Danio rerio: one gene and its partners. The protein of the gene in region 1 binds, or shares a complex with, the protein of each later gene. Links are inferred from orthologs where the notes say so. Each region holds a gene or a part of one and is shown on either strand. Other genes may lie near its edges.

Region 1 (3,657 bases):
CTAAGGAAGCTAAGGGTTGTCAGGCACCAACATTTTTCAAAATGTCTTGTTCTGAACGAGTAAATGATGATTAATTGTTCATTTTTGGGTGAGCTATCCCATTAGGTCAAACCCCTTATCGTTTCTGTAGAAGTACACTATTTTTATTTGTAAAACTGAATTCTTTGTCACAGACTGAAACCATAAATTGTTTTAGATTTTTATCTTGTATATTATCATTATTATTGTTGTTCATTTATTTTTATCTTGTGTATTATTTACTGCTGGTGATGACTTCTAATTGCTATAATATTTTTATAATCATATGCCAATGCCATGACATAGCCAAAGAAGCTGATATGGCAATAAACTCAATTTCTTTCTCTTATCACAGACCGCTGTGTCCAAGTATGAAGCCACCAAGCAGAAGAGGAAGTTTTCTTCTTTTTTCAAGTCTTTAGTGATCGAGTTGGACAAAGACTTGTATGGACCTGACAATCATTTGGTTGAGGTGAGAATCAGAAATTGTGTTTCTCAAGTATAGTACTTTAAACTTAGTTTATTGCTGTGCTGTCCAGTAGATCCTCACTGCTGTCACTTATGTGCCATTTCTCACATCTTTGTCTTCATTACAGTGGCACAGAACAGCCACAACTCAGGAGACAGATGGATTTCAGGTCAAGAGGCCTGGGGATGTTGGGGTCCGCTGTACTGTACTGCTCATGCTGGACTACCAGGTAAACTTCAATTATAGTTGTGCACATGGTGTGTTTATTAGCATTTTTGTTCAAAAATCACCAGCAGATGGCGCCACCTCTTCTTGAGACATGCTTGAACTGGATATTATTTAGATTAAATGTGACTGATGGACGAAATCATTCTCTTTCTAGCCCCCTCAGTATAAGCTGGACCCCCGCCTGGCCCGGCTGCTGGGGATTCACACTCAGACCCGGCCTGTGATCATTCAGGCTTTGTGGCAGTATGTGAAGACCCACAAACTCCAGGACCCTCATGAACGAGAGTTCATCAACTGTGACAAATACCTCCAGCAGGTAACGAATGTCATGGACTTTATTTATGGGAACTAGTGAATGAAGACTTAAACTGGAAATACCCGTTTAGACAGAAGTGGTGACGTCTGACAATTATAAACTTCTTTAGTTGATAATTAAAGACTAGTAAAAAATTTCAGTATTATCAGAAAAAAACTACTGTGAAACTAAACTTTAAAATATTTGATCCTGAACGGCTATAGTTCAACTTAATTCATTTAATAATTGGCACTTCTACTTGGTGTAGGTCTTTGAAACAAACTCCTTTTACAATTCTTCTCATTCTAGATGTTTGAAATCCATTAATTGACTTATTTTATTTTAGATCTTCGTTTTAAGTTTTAATTCTTATTATAGATCGTACAACCAATAATAGATAGTTCTAGATTTTTGACAGCGGTTGGTTCTTCTCAGTGACTACGTTTACATGGACATCAGTAATCGAGTTATTTGCCTTAGTCTATGGACTGTTTTATCCTATCACAAAACCCGGTGAGAAGTCCTACATGACGGTAATAGTTTGATTAAGGTTTTTACATGTCTGTACCGCACTTCAATAATGCGACTGAAATCGGCATACTCCACACGTCTTAATTCTATTTCTCTTTAGTTCAATTAAGACCTTAATCGGATTAAATTAATCAAAAATCGCTTTTAACTTTTAATCGCATTAAAATCGAATTATTGGTGTCCATGTAAGCGTACTGAGTGTAAATATTGTTGGTTCTGATTATTATTATTATTATTTAAATATTTGCAAAACCCATTGTCAGTTCTTCTTATTCTAAAGGTTTTAAATTCAATTTACTTTTTTTTTTAAATTCCTCAGAACTTGTAAACAATAATAGCTGGCTGTTTTTTCTGGATTTTTGTAACCTTGTAATTGTTCTTCTCATTGTCAGTCTTACAATTCCAGAAGTTGTTTTATTTCTGCTTGTTCTGATTTTTTTTTAATTTTTTAAGTTTAACAATTTATACCATGTGGTTTTAATGCTTTGAAACAAACCCTGTAATTGTCAGTTCTTTTTCCAGATGTTATAAATCCAATAATCAACAGGTGGTTCTTTCTAGATACCTTATACTAGATGGACCTGATAATTGTCTGTTCTTCCAAATGTAGATCTTTAAAATCCAGTAGTTTCGTGTCTTCGTGTGTAATTTGAACCTATTAACACTTGTTTTTCTCAATGTAGATTTTTGAAACCCAGAGGATGAAGTTCTCTGAGATCCCTCAGCGGCTGCATGCCCTACTGATGCCTCCAGAACCAATCATCATCAACCACGTCATCAGGTACCCACTGATAACATGTTAGTCAGAATCACTATCTTTCCTTATCTGCTACGTCATCTAAACTGCTGTTTACTTCTTAGCGTTGATCCCAATGACCAGAAGAAGACTGCATGCTATGATATTGACGTGGAAGTGGACGACACCCTGAAGACCCAGATGAACTCTTTCCTGCTTTCCACGGCCAGTCAGCAGGAGATTGCAGGCCTCGACAACAAGGTTCGAAAGTTTCACCATGTTCGGAAAGTTATGTCTTTGTTCTGGCTGAATAAACAGTCCTCAAAGTGTTTGGCGAGCCGTCACAGGGGGAAAGCGTTACTTTTTTCTGCTCTTTTGTTTTGTGGCTTGGTCTGCTGCATATCAAAGTGACTCTTGGCAGTGGTCTGAATGTTTGAGCAGATTTGTTTTGTATATACAAGAGGTGTGGTGCAGGAGAAAGGGTTCTGCTTTCCATCATGTTTTGTCATTGTTTTTTAAAGTGTCCTAATATTGTGTTTGAGTCCCTTACAGCAGGTTTAAATGCATTTAAGTTGAGAAAATATTGTAATTTTCTCAGAATATGCCAATTATAAGAATCATTTTACAATGATTTTGATGTTTGTTTGAAAATTTAGGCTGTAAACCCCTTTCTTAAATAAGACAACTCTGCTGTCATTGGACAGCTTGCCATTAAGGCCCCGTTTACAGTAATGCATTTTAGTTTTAAAACGCATAAGTTTTGCTACGGTTAAGCCATCCATCCACACTACGCCGGAGTTCTCGAGCGCCGAAAACTGAGCGTTTTGAAAACGCTGGAGAGGCCGTTTTCATTCTAAAAAGCTGCTGCTCCATTTCAGTGTGGATGAGGAAAAACGGAGACATCTGAAAACGGAGGCGGGGCTGCTGAGATTCGCTACCTGATTGAGGCTTTTGTGTCATTGCGTATCCTTCCCTCCTTCGTCAAGTTTCTATCACATGACTATAACACATGGCTTTAATGCTACTGGAAGTTAGTACTGAAAACAACAACATGGACACAGAAATGGGAGCGTTGTTTGCACTATTGTCTGTTTTAGGCGCCACTGTGCAGTTATTCATTTGTTACGTTCGGTAACAACTCGACCTCGTCGTCTGTCCACAAAAATACCTCTCTTGCTTTCTTTGCCCGACGCGTTTAATGTACAACCGGCGTTTGTTGACTAACAATAACCAAATGCCGAGCGAGACGCATGCTTTCTGTTTATACTAGAACTCGCATACCCAGAGTGCGCGAATGGTCACGTGATATACGTTTTTGGTGGCGTAGTGTGGACGGAGATATGTTCAGAGACGCTAGGTGAAACGCTAGTGTGGATGCAG
Region 2 (3,657 bases), on another chromosome or scaffold:
TTTCTAGTATGGATTGGCATGTTTCTTGCTAGGCGGTTGCTAGAGTGTTTTGTATGGTCGCTAAAGTGTTGCTATGTGGTTGCAAGGTGTTGCTAGGCAGTTGCTAGGATTTTCTGAGTGGTTGCTAGGGTGTCCTGAGTGGTTGCTAGGCAGTTGCTAAGGAGTTGCTAGGGTGTTCTGAGTGGTGGCAAAGGCTTTGCTAGGCGGTTGCTAGGATACTCCAGGTCATTGCTAAGGTGTTGCTAGGTGGTTGTTAGGGTGTTCTAAGTGGTTGCTAAGGTGTTGATATGTAGTTGCTAAGGTGCTCTGAGTGATTGCTATGCAGTTTCTAAGTCATTGCTAGGGTGTTCTGATTAATTGCTAGGCGGTTGCTAAGATGTTCTGAGTGGTTGCTAGGCAGTTGCTAAGGTGTTGCTAGGAAGTTGCTAGGGTGTTCTGAGTGGCTGCTAGGCAGTTGCTAACATAAATTAGCATGATTCTAATTTGAATTAGCATAGTTCTAGCATGGATTAGTATATTGCTATTATGAATTTGTATGTCTTTAGTATGTTCAATGTAAAGTCAATGGCAATTTTTTTACAATGTAAGTCTATGGAACAGTTGCTAGGGTACTGTAAGTGGTTGCTAGGGTGTGGCTACTAAGTTAAAATATATCATTGATTGGCAGATTAGTAGTCTGAGTTAAATGAGCCCAAACTTAATTCTGTATGACAGTCTGGAGCAGAGTTATGAGGTCACATAGTTTGGTCTAATGTTAAGTCAATGGGACTTTTCCGAAACTTCCGGGTCATTTTTTCTGACAAGTTGGAAAAGATATAGCAACCCGAGTCAGAGCAGTTTGGAGGTTTGCAGTTAGTTTGGTCTTTGTAACTTGAATGGTTTAGGAGGAGATGCATATAGAAACTAGTCTCAGAAAAAGATGGAAAGAGAATAATAAGTTTATGTAGTATAACAGTGTGTTGCCTTTTGTTATCGTTCAACACAGAATAATGAATTATTAAAATATCTTTAGGCTTGTTAACATTAGTTAATGCACTGTGAGCTAACTAACAATGTAGGACTTTATTTTCATTAACTGTTAACAAAGATTCATTTCTTACTGCATTTCTGTAACCGTTTTAATTTTTATACATTTTTTATTAGGATGATATGTGGAAAAATACGATTGTCATACTTACAAAAACATCAAACATTTAGTTTAATTTTACCGATTTTAAACTCGATGGGTCCAAGACGTGGATCCTCTAAGATGTTCAACCGTCTCTTCTTCCTCCAGCACCGTGCAGGATAGGTATAGAGCTGCCCTGGAGCCACACCTGGGTCAAACAGATGCAGAGTGGCCACATAAACACCCAAAACCCAAAACTTATGTTAAAGTCACCTGTGTAGTAGGATACACACAGACACACACCTGGCCCACGGTGAGTCTTCTCCATCCATATGTAGCAGTTACTCTGTGCTACACCTGTCTGGGAGTCGAGGAAGGGCAGGCGCATGGAGCGTTCGGCACAAAGTCGAGCATTATAACTGCGGCAGTGCTCAATCGCCTCACGATAAAACTCCTCACCAAGGCTGGAAACATTTCAAAAACAATCTAAGTTTAATACAGGTTATTTTTTTTCCTCTCATGTACGAGATTGTGGCCTGTTTCATTTTATTTTCTCTAAACAATGAAATAATGACTATGAAAATCAGTTAGCCACGACTAAAGATGCAAACTAACAAGTCATTCAGTATACCAATAGTTTATTTACCAAAAATCTTGTCACAAAATGAAACATTTCACGACATATTAAAGGCTCTAATTAAACAAAGTTCACCCAAACATGTAAATTTACTTACCCTCAAGTGGTTCCAAACCTTTGTGAGAGTCTTTATTGTTTTAAACACTGGTGAAGATATTTTGAAAAATGTTTGAAACCATTAACCAACAACCATTGACTTCTATAGTTGGAAAAACAAATACTATGGAAGTCAATGGTTACAGGTTTCCAGCTTTCTTCAAAATATCTTCTTTTATGCTGAACAGAAAAAAATATATAAACTCTTTAAGATTTGAAGCAATAATGGGGTAAATAATGGAGTAAATGATGACCAAATTCTCAATTTTGGGTGAACTAACCCTTTAAGCATGACAAAAATACCAAAATACTAATTCACTGCCATTTCAAATCCTTGTACTTTCTCAAATTCTTCAAACCAGTAGGTTTCACCTATGTGTCAAGAATGAGGCTTTAAAAAATTTAAAGCAGATATGACAGATTTGAATAACTTTGAATGACATCTCACCATGGATTTTTAATTAGGTTTAGTTCAGGACTCTAGGCTGTCCTTTCATTTTGTCAGTATTTTTAAAAAGCCATTTGAACTGGAAGTTGCTAAGACTTTGATTACTTATATTAACAAAGATTAATTTATTACTTAAATTCTTTGTCTTTTTTATACATTTGTTTTATGACGATGAGGTTTTAAATAATTTAAAGCAGATATGACAGATTTAAATAGCTTTAAATGACCTTAACATCCTATTAAGGACTTTCAATCAAGTGTAAATCAGGACTCTAGGCTGTCCTTTCATATTGTCAATATTTTTATTTAAAACCTATGTGAACTGGAAGTTGCTGACACTTTTATTACCAATGTTAACAAAGATTCATTTATTACGGCATTACTGTAACCTTTTCTTTTTTATACATTTGTTTTATTAGGATGTTACATGAGAAAATATGATCGTCATTCCCACAAAAATAACAATGAGGTTTTAAATAATTTAAAGCAAAAATGACAGATTTGAATTGCTTTGAATGACTTCAGGGGCAGCATGGTGGTGCAGTGGGTAGCACAATCGCCTTAATAGCTTGAAAATCCATGTGAACTGGAAGTTGTTGAGACTTTTATTACCAATGTTAATAAAGATTTATTTACCCCTGTATTACTGTTCATGTACTTTCAACTAAAACGGAATATTGAGTAGGGGGTGGGGCTTTCAGTGCATCATTCCCTCATAGCAAATTAACAGTAAGAGGGGCGTGGTTAAGAATATTGTGGCTGAAGCTGTCAAACTGACTTCATCAGAGAAAGACCATCACTCCAAACAAAGAAGCAAAAGGAAGATTACCAAAACTAACTTTTCCTTTTCAACTTTAACTTTCTATAGATTAATTCATCACCTAAAGAATAAAACTTTAAGGAACTGCTTTACTTGTTTTGCTGTGTCATGAGGTTAATTGTCCTGCATAAAATTGCTAGCTAGTTGGCAGGGAAGGAACTGAATGTTGCCTCTGATTAACGCTTTTATTTATTCCGTCATATACAGTGAATCCGGGAAGTATTCAAAGCACTTTTTTATATTTTGTATGTTAAGACTTTTTATGTCACAACCTTATTCCAAAATGGAAAAATTCTACACACAATACCCCATAATGACAATGTGAAAAAAAAATTTTTAAATTGTTGCAAATTTATTAAAAATAAAAAACCTGAAAAATCACATGAACAGAAGTATTCACAGCCTTTGCCGTGAAGCTCTTAATTGAGCTCAAGTACATTCTGTTTCCACTGTTTCCACACTTGAGATGTTTCAGCAGCTTAATTGGAGTTCACCTGTGGTAAATTCAGTTGACTGAACATGATTTGAAAAGGCATACACCTGTCTAT
Region 3 (3,757 bases), on another chromosome or scaffold:
TTTAGTCTATCCAATTCACCTGTACCACATGTCTTTGGACTGTGGGGGAAACCCACACGAAGGCAGGGAGAACATGCAAACTCCACACAGAAATGCCAACTGAGCCGAGGTTCGACCCAGCGACCTTCTTGCTGTGAGGCGACAGAACTACCTACTGTGCCACTGCCTCGCCATGAAGAATATATATATATATATATATATATATATATATATATATATATATATATATATATATATATATATATATATATATATATATATATATATATATATATTACTTTTTATATGGTATGCAAAAAATTGTATCCACAAACAAAATTTCGGAAATCCTTTACCTCATTTGCCAATTGTTAATTGAAATTGATTTCTTGCTTAAAGCAAAAATTCTGCAAGTTAATAGAAACTTATGAAAATATCATGCTTCCAGTAAGTTAGTTTTTAATACTTTCTGTGTTTTTTATTTACTTTTGTACTGTCCCCTTTCTTTATTTTATTCTCTTTTTTCTTTTCTTTATTTAATTTTTTCTCTTTCTATTACTTTCTGTTCTTATCACTTTGTATTTGTATGTACTTGTGTTCCAGTCTCCTACATATTACTTCCTGATTTATATTGTACATTTCTTCTTTTCTAAATAAAAGTTTATTTAAAAAAAAAAAAAGTTTTAATGAAAAAAAAAAAAAAAAAAAAAAAACAGACCTCCCTGAATAATTAGTTTTTCCACTTTATGGGGGGGGGGGTCCCTTTGGTCCAAACACTGGTCCAACAGTCACATGAACTCTCTTATGTTTAATAAAGATGAGATTGATTAAAATGTGATGTGAGGAAATCCAAAATTGTTAACCGGCCGCGCCGTGTTTTCCAGCAGACTCTGCGCAGAGAGCTGAAGGAGATGCTCGATAATGCCATGCTGGAGCAAAGGGGCTCCGGCAGGGGTCTTATACGCACATTTGTACACGCTCACATTTGCCTCTGTGGGAATGGGGAAGTTTGATATTAGAAATAAACTTTCCAGTTTGCGAAAATGCGTTGAAGTCTCCGCTCGCCTCAGAGCAGTACCAGTTAAACGCATATTGGTGTCATTTGTCTTCGTCTCAAACGCATCAGTAATTGTTTTCACAGCTCGTGCCCAGCACACATTCACCCACTGACAGGACAGCGGTGGCGAACGCTCCATCCTCAAATCGCAAGCCCACATATATATAGCTATACCGGCGTGAATGAGGAGAAAACTGTGCGATATGGGGCAGACGATGGCACAGCGCTACCCCAATGAATAATGTAGATGGGCATCAGCAGCGTGCGGCTATAGAGTCTGCGAAAACACAGACGCTGGGGGAAATAAACCTACAGACTTTAATGCTCGTTTAAACGCGACTTCGAGTATGGAAACGGGTCTGGTCGCGAATCATCAAGTGAAAAATGTTGGACGCGGAGATCCCCCTCCTTCGCCTCATCATCGCACACCTCCACAGCAACAGTCGCGAGCATTCCATCAGCAGCACCAGCAGCGAGCCGCGCACAACAACAACAACATCTCCATCACCATCCACAGCAGCAGCAACCGCGCAGATCCGCAGCATGGAGGAAAAGAAGACGCTCTGGAGGCGCAGGTCGATCGCCATCCGCGTTTGCTGAACACAGGCGACGAGGAGGATCGCTCGTCCAAAACCGGGGGGGATCGAATGGGCAGCAGGTACGAGCACTCCAACTTTGGACCAGCGAGCAACAATAACAACAACAACAACAGCGGCGGCGGAGGCAGCGCGTCCCAAAGCGGGAGCAGCTCAGTTTCTGAGTTTAATAATTATTACGGGAATGGAAGAGGAGGGCCTTGCTTTGATCAACATGGCGGACAACAAAGCCCTAGGACGGCTTTAATACATCAGGCACCGGGCAACATGGATCAAGTGCAGAACTCCCACGAAGGGTACCATAATAATCCGTACAACCACTATCCCAACTACCGGCCGGGGTACGGCGGCGCTGGATACGGTATGATGAGCCCGTCGCGGCAGGGGAACATGATGGGCCCAGGTACCAATTCGCCTACCGCTGCTGCTGCTAGCCATGGCAAGGCTGCTATGGCCTCGACCACCCCGGCTCCTGGTGCCAATGTTGGGAGCTTTCAGAGGTTTCCCGGACAAAACCAACAGCACCCTTCTGGAGCTACACCCACCCTGAACCAGCTCCTGACATCCCCGAGTCCGATGATGCGGGGATACGGTGGCGGCTATCAAGATTACAGCAACCCGCCATCGCAGCAGCAGCAGTCGGGTATGGGTTTGGGCAAAGACATGAGCTCCCCGTACAGCCCAGCTGCCAGCCACAGCTGGGCAGCACAACAAAGAAACCACCCGGCAATGAGCCCCGGGAACAACGGCAACAGCAGAGCCCAGGTGAACGCTTTAGCTTTCCTTATGTGTGTGTGTTCAAGTTTCGCATGCAGGTCTAGCTGTGGCCCGATGCTACCCTTAATATCAGCTTGGAATGTATTAGTTTACGTTCATTGAATGCACGTGACGTGCATGAACAGTTAAATAACATGCTGATGTTGATCAGGCTTTGTTATTTCCCAGTTTTGGGCTTGTCTGTGGCTTGACAGGCAGCAGAACATGCCAAGTTCTGCCCAAGGTGACTGTGCTAACAGTGTTAGCATGTGTTAGCCTGCACCGAGACTTCATATATGCTTAGAAAGATTCCTATTTCAGCAACCGGATATGCAGCGCGGCTTATGTTCGTATACACAGTAAAACAATGAAGCATAATCACTATTAAATCCGTGTCATGTTATTGAACACATGATCGGCTGCGATTCCGCTAAAGATCTCGATCGGTGCAGTTCAATGATGGAAGATTCTAGCATTGCGTTGCTACTAAGTAAAAAACCCACTGCTAACGCTTTTTATTCACTCGAATAAAGCGACTAATTGAGTTAACGATTCTTTCCATATAAAAATTCGTTTTCGTTTTTGACGTATGGTTACCGGTTAGCACTGTCTGTCTGAAACTAAGTGCTAGACGGCGTTTTCAGAGCACAGGGCTACTGATTAGCATTGCTAGCTTGTATTAGCGCCATTGCGCCCGTCTGGCTTCACTTCATTATGCAGTAATTAATGTTTTCACATTCACCTCACACTCACTTGCTGTTATTTCTTTAGGCTATCTGTACATGGTTTTATACACGAAAATCTTTTAATTTATAAGATATGATAAGGCGGGCTGGTGTATTTCAAAACCTAGGCAGCTCACTGGGTTTTGTGACAACATTAAACTAGTATTTGTCTAGGTAGGTGACTCACTAGACTTCAGCATACTGATGCCTAAAATGCTGTCTAGCTAGGCTGTGTATAATGTAAAAAAACAATAATATCCAAAATAGTATGAATATAATGTCTTAACATCCTAGTATTTTTGTTTTGAGTCAGATGTTAACAGTCTATAGGTAGCTTCAATAGTTTATCACCTTGGATTATACATTCAAGCTATTCAGGTTACTAGTTTTCATGTTCGATTTTAGTGATAAATTGACTTCGCTGCTTAATATGTTTTTATGCGTGTCTAGAGGAAAAGCTGATGAATCTATTGGAATAGTTTAGCATAAATTAATATTCATTCAGCTAAATGCTGTAGGCTGTTTCTTTGTCAAACAATAAATGCTGGTAATGTTTGTTTTGCTTTAACTATTAATGCAGTCATTTGGTGCCTTAAAATCAAATATTTCATATGTACCTGATCATATGTATTTTCTGTTTTGAG

What was found.
Region 2: smarcd1 (region 1) and dpf1 share a complex: the UniProt entries of both Homo sapiens proteins name them as parts of the neuron-specific chromatin remodeling complex. The link is inferred for Danio rerio from reciprocal best matches to the Homo sapiens genes SMARCD1 and DPF1.
Region 3: smarcd1 (region 1) and arid1b share a complex: the UniProt entries of both Homo sapiens proteins name them as parts of the neuron-specific chromatin remodeling complex. The link is inferred for Danio rerio from reciprocal best matches to the Homo sapiens genes SMARCD1 and ARID1B.

The regions. Positions count from the first base shown.
Region 1 is NC_133197.1:7,406,884-7,410,540, reverse strand, and holds part of smarcd1 (SWI/SNF-related matrix-associated actin-dependent regulator of chromatin subfamily D member 1), read left to right. Parts: intron 1-81; exon of another isoform or gene 82-132; intron 133-373; coding exon 374-490; intron 491-614; coding exon 615-716; intron 717-869; coding exon 870-1,031; intron 1,032-2,224; coding exon 2,225-2,322; intron 2,323-2,402; coding exon 2,403-2,538; exon of another isoform or gene 2,539-3,657. UniProt on the Homo sapiens protein: Involved in transcriptional activation and repression of select genes by chromatin remodeling (alteration of DNA-nucleosome topology).
Region 2 is NC_133190.1:16,350,304-16,353,960, forward strand, and holds part of dpf1 (zinc finger protein neuro-d4), read right to left. Parts: intron 1,573-3,657; coding exon 1,412-1,572; intron 1,317-1,411; coding exon 1,209-1,316; intron 1-1,208. UniProt on the Homo sapiens protein: May have an important role in developing neurons by participating in regulation of cell survival, possibly as a neurospecific transcription factor. Belongs to the neuron-specific chromatin remodeling complex (nBAF complex).
Region 3 is NC_133195.1:5,200,443-5,204,199, reverse strand, and holds the start of arid1b (AT-rich interactive domain-containing protein 1B), read left to right. Parts: upstream 1-912; 5' UTR 913-1,383; coding exon 1,384-2,397; intron 2,398-3,757. UniProt on the Homo sapiens protein: Involved in transcriptional activation and repression of select genes by chromatin remodeling (alteration of DNA-nucleosome topology).